Linked DNA regions of Drosophila melanogaster. The protein of the gene in region 2 interacts with the protein of the main gene of each other region in a pairwise test. Each region holds a gene or a part of one and is shown on either strand. Other genes may lie near its edges. The genes, in order: CG14645, Nca and Obp19d.

Region 1 (3,068 bases), on a different chromosome or scaffold from region 2:
CTTAATTCGGCTCAATATCGCTGGCTGCCGCCGCGTTTTGTTTGACTCGCGTAAGTAGTTCCCACCGTCTTCAATGATATATTTCCTTTTTGATTTGAATTTAATTTGTTTAGATGTTGCAACCCTGCAAAAACGGTGTCCTCAGTTGTTGGAGCTTGATCTATCTGATTGCAATAGTCTAACACCAACAGTCATTACTGCAATTATGAAGTTCAAGATGCTGGAATATTTGTCCGTCTCCCGATGCTATCTTATTCCAGCAACCAAATTTATGTAAGATTTTTCCAGCAAGCGTCTGATTAATCCCTACCCAGTCATTTTCCTTGCAGTGAACTTAAGAGTATGCCCTCGCTAACCTATTTAGACATATTTGGGATGCTGTCGGACACTGCAATGGAAGTCCTTGAGAAACAACTGCCAAAAATGGGTATAAACAAATTCATTCACAGTTCGGTATCCCGCCCGACTGTTGGCACGCGACGCACCTCCATTTGGGGTCTGCGCACGCGCGACTAAGTCTCGACTCTGCTGCTTCCGTTACCATTTGAATTTGTTTTGCTGCGTAAGCCACCCGTAACGCAGTTATTTTATTCTCAATTCAACAACATAAATAATCACATTTAGCTGTTCTTATTTTTGTGCGTTTGGTCACTGATCCGCTTCGCTAAGGGGCTCCACTGGTTTCTCCCATTCCCATTCCTCCCAGTTGACGCAGTTCTTGAGACTATCCATGAATCCTGTTTCGCTGGGGCACTTGATTTCAATGGCTGGTTTGTTAAGTGTCTCACACTTCCAATACGATGTGGCATCCCAATTGTTGCGGAAAACTACAATGTCTAGCTCGGCTTGGGTCTTGCAACCCGGCTGTCCGTCACCATCATAGGCGAGGGCAATGCCAAAAGAAATCACTAGTAGGGAGGTTAGAGCGAGCTGAACCTTCATCTTTCAAAAAATGTTCTATGGTCTACTGGAAGTACTCGAAGCCTTTTATAGTTACATAGTTGCAGCGGTATAGTATCCAAGTGCAGCTACTACCAGAAAATGCTTTTATAAATTGGCATTAATGTAAACACTCGAGAGAGGAAGGAAAAGATAACAGTACTTGCCCTTGACTCCAATCTGTTCAAACTAAAAAAGGTACAATGAGTCACCCAATTTTCCATTTAAAAATTCATTGTTTTTATACTATATTAAATATTTAAGAAAATAAACAAAAAATATGTCTTTTATCAAGGAAAGCATAATCAAGCCAATTCAAAACAAAATCATATAGGGAAACGACAAATATAAATATTTTCGATCTAGTTCGTAATCATAGGTTCAAGAACAAAGTTCGTATTGGACAGCCTGCCAAATTTAAAGATTCAGCAATATAAAAGTAACTAAAGCAAGAGAGAAGGCTATGGTCGAGTTCCTCGACTATCAGATACCCGTCACCCGTGGCAACATGGGTCAACTAACTTGCGCTGGGTATTTGTCTCTAGAATCTGTATGCTTAATCTCAACCTTCTAGCTTTTATAGTTCCTGAGATCTCGACTTTCATACGGACAGACGTACATGGCCAGATCGGCTATTGATCCTGGTCAAGAATATATGTACTTCATATGGTCGGGAACGCTTCCTTCTGCCTGTTTCAACGAATCTAGTATACTCTATTACTCTACGAGTAACGGGTAGAAATATAAAATTGAAACTATTTTGAGTCATCCCTCCAATTGGTAATTTTTTTATATATTAACGGAAATTTAAAGTGCGTTACAAAAGTAAAAATTCTTTTGGTGCTAGTATGCTTAACGGGGTGGACATTTCGGCGTTTTCCACACTTCTTGGGAAATCACTTTAGACAAATTTGTACCAATGTCGGTACTTAATAGTATTTAACTATAACTTACCTTTTGCCTTTGGTGTGAATAGGCTATTAAGCCAAAGAGTAAACATTCGTCGATTGTAACTCCCTTGTCATCGATGTTGGCCAATACGTGACAACATCGATAGTATCGATAACTATCAGGTTCAGGTTCGCCTGTATTGCACTATTTTGCTTCACACACGTAATTTCGGAATTTGCCAGAAAAACACCGATCTGCTATTGATCTTAGTCCAAAATTGCGTTTTTAAGTCGAAAAGACACTTTTCGGCTTTTAGATGGATGAAGACTCGGCTACGATACAGCTGGGGGATAGGCGTCTCGGTAACGCGGTCGATCATGATCTGCTTCCAGGGCCACCCGGCGTCGATGAGAAAAGCGGAAACGAGAACTGCGAGCCCAGGAGCAGTGGGTCGGGAAAGCGCGGCAAGTCGAATTCCAGGCGCCGTTCCACATCCCGTGGTCGGTCGGATTCCCGCAACACATCGCCGTCGAACACCCGGCGAAGGCATTCCCTGTCCCGCTCGCTGACTCCACCGCGTCGTCGTTACGATTCGCCCGATTATGGGCGGTACTCCCGACGGCGCTTTGATCGTGATCGGCGACGCTCCCCCGAACGCCGGCGCTCTCCGCCACGTCGCGGACGACGGTACGGACGATCCCGGTCCCGCAGCATGTCGCCCCGACGGGGAGGTCGATGGTCACCAAAAAAAAAACCGTCGTCGCCGCCAGTGCCCCCTCCGCATGGAGGACCACATCCTCAAATGACCCCTGGCTATGGAGCTATGGCCGCACATATCTACGGATCATACGTCGCTCCACCAGATGTTTACGGTCACCAATATGGAATTCCGCCTAACTCGTTTCCACCTCAGGGACCGGGGTACGGTATTCCAGGTGCCCCGCCGGACCAAAGCTCTTTTGGCTCTGGCTACGGTCCGCCTCCCACAAGCGCGTGGGACGTAAATGGTACGTTTCTAGACATTTAACGCCAAAAGCCCTTCATTTATTAAGCATATTATTTCCTGCAGTGTACGGTCAGCAGGTGTGGATTAACCAGCCTATTTCTGGGGTCCAGCCATCCGCTTCAGACTCCCTGATCCAGCCACAGAAGGCCCGCGAAACTCTCTCTGGCAAGACGATAGGCGAGGAGCAGTCGGTGCCAGCGCTCGAAGGCGCAGGTTTGACGCCTCAGGATGG
Region 2 (3,759 bases):
ATAAAAATAAAATCATCTGCAAGGGTATATTATATTCTTCGTTTTATAAAATCCGAATCGGTATTAAACATGATCAATTAGTATGATTGATTACTTTAAAGGTTTACACACACATTTGGAAGATATTTATTACAAGTCATATTTGTTTAATTGGCTGCTTAAGTATTGGGTTAGTCATGCATTTAAGGCTATAATTAAGCTAGGCACAAATATTATTGGTATTTATTTAATTGTACATTTTATGTGATTCCTTTACTTACATCAGTTTGATTTCCGTCGACCAAGTCAAAGCATTATTTACCTACTGAGGCTAATATGCTGAAAATATAAAAAGAGCTTGTTACTACAAAATCGCCATCGGATTGTAAGAAAATATTATAATGGAATATGCGATTCTCTTCGATATTGCTGAATCTTTTTTTTCGAAAGAATATAAAGAAACTCCCTCAATTTAAAATTTCAAAATAGCAGCAACGAAAAAATTGAAATTAAAGCTCTGCCATGAGCCAAATTCGTGCCAAACGGAAGGTAGTTGAGTTTTGAAAATGGCTAAGGTCATGGTCAATCTGGAGGCAATTAGTTCGGTTCCTGGAGAAACCCAAAACCCCATTTTGAACACGTATTTTGGAGTAAGATGTTGGGAACAAGGCTATTTTGGGATTGTGGGTCACAATCAGCGCTTGTTTCACTAGATGGCTGGTATACTTTGGGCCAGAAACGCGAGTGCGAGTGTCAATGCAGTTTGAAATCGCCTTTCGCGATGAATATACGCCGAATAAATGGAATTTTTGGCACACGCATACGCCTGCGTGTCACGTGGGGAAAGCACGGCCCGCGCCTACAGTTTTTTTTCCTGCCCTTCCTCCCCAGCGTTCGTTCGGTGTTACGGCCTTTTTATTTTGCACATAATATTCACACCAAATCGGGTAAGGGGCTCCAGTGGGCTCCAGCAGGGGGTGGGGGAGGGTGGTCAGCAGGGAAAGGCTGGCACTTGGACACCAATATTCCACATCGTATACCAAACCAAGTGTATGCGTTTCGAGCGGGGGTTTCTTTGGCGATGGCTTGCTACACAACTTGCTACACACGTTTAACTCCCAGTGGACCTCGGGTTCTCGCTTACATAAATTGGCACTGTTTTTTTTTTTTTTTTTGGAGCGAGAATTCGAATGCGAATTAAAATGCATTAATATAACCGGCTCGCACTGCTCGAACCGCTCGATTTAAATAAAGTAGTTTGTTGTTTGTGTCCATATGTGCTTGCGTGTGTGCGAGTGGGCATGGCTTTGTCACATGGTCCACTTGGCCCCAACGTACAATGTCCTAGGAAAACGATTTGCTTGCTTGATTTTTATTCTCCACACAAATTCGCCCTAAATTGTTATTTTTGATATTTACATATGTACATATGTACGCAGGTGCGTATGTACATATGTACGCACATGCAGTGTATATGCACGCAAAATGGGCTAAAGTGTGTATGTAGCTCGATTCACACGGGATTTTCGCCGCCTCGGCGGGAGGTGGGTGCGGTTATTACCTGAACGAAAATGACACATTGATTTTAGGCACATTTCTGCTACCCGCTAGGCTAAACAAAATCACTTTTCGCAAATGCAATAAACTTATTCGACCAAAACACAATCAATACAACAAATTTAGGGGTGGCTTAAATCGAGGCGATATATATACGAGCGCCTTATCGATGTGTGCTGCTGGTTTTCGCTTTTGATGTATCGATAAGTTAGGGCGATTGTTTTCACGCCGTTTAAACAAAATTGTTTTTAAATTAATTTCGGGGCTTTTAAGAAAATTATAAGCATGTATTTAAGCAAGAATACCAATACGGTTAGAGTATTAGTTAGATCGTAGATATAACCTATATAAATAAATTTATGAAGTGTTCCACTTTCGTCGTTCCCGTGATAGAGTAACGGTTCCTTTTTAAATAATTAAAATTCTTATTGGATTCATGATGAAACCAAAAAAATTTTAAAATAACAAATTTAACAATTACGGTGCGGATTTCTTATGTGAACATTTATCAACTAGGATTCATAATCTTTAGGCTTATTCTGGAAAAAGTTAACAAGTGTTGTAACTATTTAAAATTAAGTCCGTATAAATGAGCAAATTGTTGAAATCGATCAAATTGAGCTTAAAAGATTTATTTGACTACTTAAATTTGAATCTGCTTACTAACTTTTTCATTGTTCCGGAACTTTTGATGCTGAAATGTGAAACTATTTAGTACATAGGTGTTAATAGCGTTTCGGCCAATTAAATTTAGTATGTGAGTACGCATGCCAACCTTTGTATATAGATGTTGCTTCTCGATATATTTAGATTAAGTTTTCTAAGTGCATTTGTTTCGAGCAGCAGTTCGATCATTTAGTCTTTTTTCCTTTATATCAGTATAAACACTATAGTAAAGGTACGGTCCCTAATTTTTCAGTGGACCCAATGTCCTAGTTTTAGCTGCTAGAAAATCAATGTGAATCCCTTGAACGTCTATTAATAAGTCTATGATAAAAAGTCCTTTGGAAAGATAACAGTGATATGAGTGGTTTAAGAGATGAATCTATACAATTCAATCGATGAATGATGTAACTCATTATATGTAGATTATAATGCATTGAACCATTTAAATCGTCCTGAATTCGAAAGGTCTAAGAACGCCAGCTATTTGGGCGTCCTGAATTCCAAACATTTCCGATCAACTGCGAAAAAGGTTGTTTTAAGAACAAAATTGAAATTTAGGTTGTGTTGCAATGTTATGCAACGTTAAAAGGCCAACGTTTATAAAAAATAAGAAGACAGTGAATTTGTTAAAGTATCTTATTGTGATATAATAATATGATGATGGCTTACGTTACCTAGAGATCGAATATTGAAAGTGAATCTGTCTATGATAGATATATAATAATATTGAAAGGATTCCGTTTCAGTAATATGGCAGACGAAGAAGATCCATGGGGTTTCGACGACGGCGGCGAGGAGGAGAAGGCGGCATCCACCCAGGCGGGCACTCCGGCCCCACCCTCAAAAGCACCGAGTGTGGCATCCGATCACAAGGCTGATAGCGTCGTGGCTGGCACTCCGGCCAACGAGGAGGCTGCTCCGGAAGAGGTAGAAGAAATCAAAGCACCGCCGCCTCCGCCAGAAGACGATGGTTACAGGAAACCGGTGCAGCTCTACCGCCACTGGGTCAGGTTGGTCCTCCACTGTACTGTACAGCACTGTACCGTACTGTATCTTATGCAATCTGCACTTTTCAGGCCGAAGTTTCTGCAATACAAATACATGTACAACTACAGAACCAACTATTACGATGATGTAATTGACTATATCGACAAAAAACAAACTGGAGTGGCCCGGGAAATACCAAGACCACAGACGTGGGCGGAACGTGTCCTGCGCACACGGAATATCAGGTGGAGTAGCTAATCCGGTTTGTGTAAATATAGTAGTTGTTAATATTTGTTATCCACCTCAGTGGCAGTGACATTGATTCGTATGCACCGGCAAAGAGGGACAAACAACTAATTCAAACACTGGCGGCCTCGATAAGAACTTATAATTACCACACCAAGGCATATATCAACCAAAGGTATGCCAGTGTCCTTTAGTAAGCGCACCTAAATGTACCAATAGAACCGTCGGACGAACGGATGAGCACTCGTAGTTATATAAAGGGTAACCACCCATTGTCAAAAGATCCATACGTACATATGTGTATAGTCAGTCAGTAAGCGTTTG
Region 3 (3,759 bases), on a different chromosome or scaffold from region 2:
AAGCTAGGACATATTTAGGGGAGCCGAGAGCGAACGCGCATCCCTGGCTGGGTCCCTTCTCCGCAGGATATCACCTGGAGAAACCCAGGTACGAAGAACATCGTGCATTAATAAATAGTGAGTAAGAATCTTTTAAATATGCCCCAGATTGGGAGATGATATACAAAAAAATGTACTTGTATTTATAATAATAAAGATTGTAATATAATCGTCGAAATTGAGCAAGAATTTTTTATTAGTAAATTATGGGTCCCGAGGAGTCTTGGAGGATAACCACACCCATACGAATCCCCCTTCACAATCCAACAAACAATCAAGCCTGCAGTTTCTCAGTTTATCAAGTACTTAATTCATAGTATACACATAAAAAAAAAAGATGGTTATATTCCAGAAGGGCGCTTGTGATACAGTAACGGGGGGTCGTCATGGGTCTCAAATCTGTTCTCAGTGCTCCTCCAGCTCGAGTCCATGCTCCTTCATTTGCTCGTAAATGCATTCCTCGTAGGCGAAGGCAGCGTCGCAACTGAAAATGGCAGCATGATTATAGTCCGGATTTGAGCCAACAGCTTCCGGCGAGCACTACTCACTGATCCTCGGGTGTCTCGATGGCCTCGCACTTGGCCACCACCTCGGCGGGAGCGTCTTCCTTCTCTGCATCGTGCTTGCTCATGACCTTGACCAACTCGATGGCGTGTTCCTTGTTCAGCTTACCGGATTCATCCATCTGCAATGGGAGGGAGAATGGAATGGGTGGTGGTGAGTGGATCACACTTCCTGCCGGAGCAGCAGCACTCACTATCTGCAGCTTTTTCATCACGCAGGCGCGCAGGCACTTGGCCTCGTGTCTCTCGGGCAGGTCGTGGCTCATCAGCTGCTCCACATCCTCTGTAAGCGATATATCATATGATTGATAATTGCACAATAACTATCCTAACACATCCACCACAGGTAGGAGTGGTACGCTGACAGCTGTATTCCCTACTGAATTTTCTGCACTGATGACCATCTGACTCACCATCGGTGGCTCCCGTCTCAGCCTTGCACTCGTTGGCCAGCTCGGCGGCGTGGTCCCTGTTGATCTCCTCGTGCGGCTTGGCGCTGGTGGCGCCCAGGCAGAGGATGCCCACTAGGAGCAGGACGGTCAGGTGAACCAGATGCGACATTTCGATTTGCGATTGAACTGCGCGACGTGCGAACTCTGACTTGGATGCGAATCGCCGGCAACGTCGGCGTTTTATAGGAGCTATTGCCTAAGCCGAGTCCCGTGATTGATTTGGCAGATCGGATCCATCGCCGATCTCCAGCTGCGTCTCAAGCAGCTCCGGCAATTACGCGCAATTATGAACTACATGGGCAGCACATGGCACATGGCACTCCACTTCACTCCGCCGCTCTGGACGGGATGGGACGGAATCCGGCGGAGATGCCCTCGACTGGGCATCGTGTGAACGAGTGACACCCCGCTGGAACTGCCGCTGCCAGATGAGATGGCCCACCGATCTCCACTTACCTGCTTAATTGGTGACTGGCATGAAATCGCTGCAAATGCCGGGGATATAGAATTGGGAATGGCTATGGCTAGTGGAAATGGAAATGAAAATGCAAAATGCTAAATGCAAAATGAGAGATGAGAAATCCCGCTTGTAATTAAATCGATCAACAGCTCTGGGTGAGATGAGTGATTGTGACTGGCGGGGCCATCGAGCGATTATACAATTATATGGAACTGGGCGAACTGGGAACTGCGGTTGCCGCCTGCCAAATTGGCCGTTTAGGCCATAATATACCCTTCATCTGTCCGCCTATTTCCCAGTTTGCCCGTCAGCCTGCCGACTTTCTGATCATTCCGAGTGCCAACGATCGCTATCTGAGTTCCATCCAGTCAGTCTGTTTGTCCATCCATCGAGTGGAGATTTTAGCACGCAATCTATATTATTGTGGAATCCAATAGATGGAATCGGATTGCATCGTGTGAGCATGTTGCATGCTAATTTTTATTCCAATTGGATTGAGTGGGGCTTACTAGCCCCATTAAGATCTTTAACAGGTCGGAAGTCTGTGTGATCGAGTATTATACATATATGTACATGGTAAATCATCCAACAAATAAGTCCGATTGATAATATATGTATATATCTAAATAATTCGGTTGCGAGCAAATGGCTTACTTTCATTTTAATTAACATTGATATTTTCAAATGTATTATTCCAAAAATGAATATACCTTACAAACCTTGGTACTTTGATAGACCTATCAGGTTTCCAGATTGAAGATCTACATTAATCCGATATTGTCATTGTCTCGAGTGAACTGACACATCGCTGGATAGCGTTGGCGATGTCAAATATCGTCTTTGGAGCGTGACTTGTGCGGGTGACGAACTTGGGTGATGAACTTGGCACTGGAGAAATGCTTGCAATCAGCAAAATCAAGCGACGATGCCATGTGCAGACGACTATGGTGTGAGGTCATGGGTCAGCTTATAAGCCAAGGGGCCAAGCAAGAGCAGAGCCAAAGAGAAAGCAGCTGCCAAGATGAAGCCATCCACTCCAGTCGCAGCCATTCCGCTAATGACGATAGTGGTCGCTGTCCTGCTGCAGACGCACTGCGTCCGTGGCCAGACCCAGGCTTTCGATCTCGCCAAGCTGCTGCCCAAGACCGGAACGGAGCCCATCTGGGCGGTAATCGATCGCAACTTGCCGCAGGTGCAGGAGCTGGTCACCGCGGCCAGGATGGAGTGCATCCAGAAGCTGCAGCTGCCCAGGGACCAGCGACCGCTGGGGAAGGTGACCAATCCAAGTGAGAAGGAGAAGTGCCTGGTGGAGTGCGTGCTCAAGAAGATCAAGTTGGTGAGTAGCCGGACGTTTGTCACAACCAGAACTAAAAGGTCACTAATACTTCTCATTCGCACCCAGATGGACGCCGACAACAAGCTGAACGTTGGCCAGGTGGAGAAGCTGACCAGCCTGGTGACCCAGGACAACAAGATGGCCATCGCCGTTAGCTCCAGCATGGCGCAGGCCTGCAGCCGCGGCATCTCCTCGAAGAACCCCTGCGAGGTGGCCCACCTCTTCAACCAGTGCATCAGTCGCCAGCTGGAGCGCAACAACGTAAAGCTGGTCTGGTAGAGGACATCTCCGCGCCATGGACACCACCACCAACTACCACTTGAGATCTTAACTACGAGTAGAAAGAAGGTGTCTCGCATATTTTGGCCATAATCTTAGCTACAATGATTTCTCAGATAATTTTAACCGAAAATGCACAATCTATTAGGCAATATAATTATATATTAAATACTAGTTATACGATTTTCTAGTACTAGATCAAGTTTTAGTTGCTCACTCGCAATTGATTTGAATAAATCTATATATACAGTAATTTATTTCCCATTTTTGCACAATAAAAAACACAATCTTTCGCAGTTCCAACTACGGGATTACGTACTACATATGTGATTCCCACCCGATAAATATGCATAATTCGTAACTTGTTGGTTGGGCGCTTTATTAGTTTGGGAAACCACTCCAAGTTCTCTAGCTTTGGTAATTAAATCGAACTGAATCACTAACAAAAAAAAAAGGGAGGGAGAACATGCAATGGTGGGCCAGCGAGCAGCTCCATGGCCTCATTCCTTGATCTCGGGAATCTTGAAGCCCGAAGAGCGCATCTCGCGCAGCATGCACATAGCGATCCCGTGGGCTGCCTCGCACCTGAAAAAAAACCAAAAACAAATAAGATCCTTTTCAGAAATACTT

What was found.
Region 1: the proteins of Nca (region 2) and CG14645 interact in a two-hybrid assay, tested with the Drosophila melanogaster proteins (2 studies listed by BioGRID).
Region 3: the proteins of Nca (region 2) and Obp19d interact in binary tests that used the Drosophila melanogaster proteins (3 or more experiments, as listed by UniProt).

The regions. Positions count from the first base shown.
Region 1 is NT_033777.3:4,332,991-4,336,058, reverse strand, and holds CG14645 (uncharacterized protein), read right to left. Parts: upstream 962-3,068; 5' UTR 943-961; coding exon 649-942; 3' UTR 553-648; downstream 1-552. Other genes in the region: Skp2 (S-phase kinase-associated protein 2), read left to right, coding at 1-50, 114-273, 330-516; CG9776 (uncharacterized protein), read left to right, coding at 2,147-2,837, 2,900-3,067.
Region 2 is NT_037436.4:19,989,824-19,993,582, reverse strand, and holds the start of Nca (neurocalcin), read right to left. Parts: upstream 1,697-3,759; 5' UTR 1,541-1,696; intron 319-1,540; 5' UTR 261-318; intron 1-260. Other genes in the region: fln (flightin), read left to right, coding at 2,953-3,212, 3,279-3,434, 3,497-3,629. UniProt on the Drosophila melanogaster protein: Calcium-binding protein that is essential for promoting night-time sleep and inhibiting nocturnal hyperactivity.
Region 3 is NC_004354.4:20,417,542-20,421,300, reverse strand, and holds Obp19d (Odorant-binding protein 19d), read right to left. Parts: upstream 1,689-3,759; 5' UTR 1,164-1,688; coding exon 1,016-1,163; intron 886-1,015; coding exon 797-885; intron 725-796; coding exon 588-724; intron 524-587; coding exon 445-523; 3' UTR 322-444; downstream 1-321. Other genes in the region: Obp19c (Odorant-binding protein 19c), read left to right, coding at 2,536-2,850, 2,917-3,129; Obp19b (Odorant-binding protein 19b), read right to left, coding at 3,630-3,714.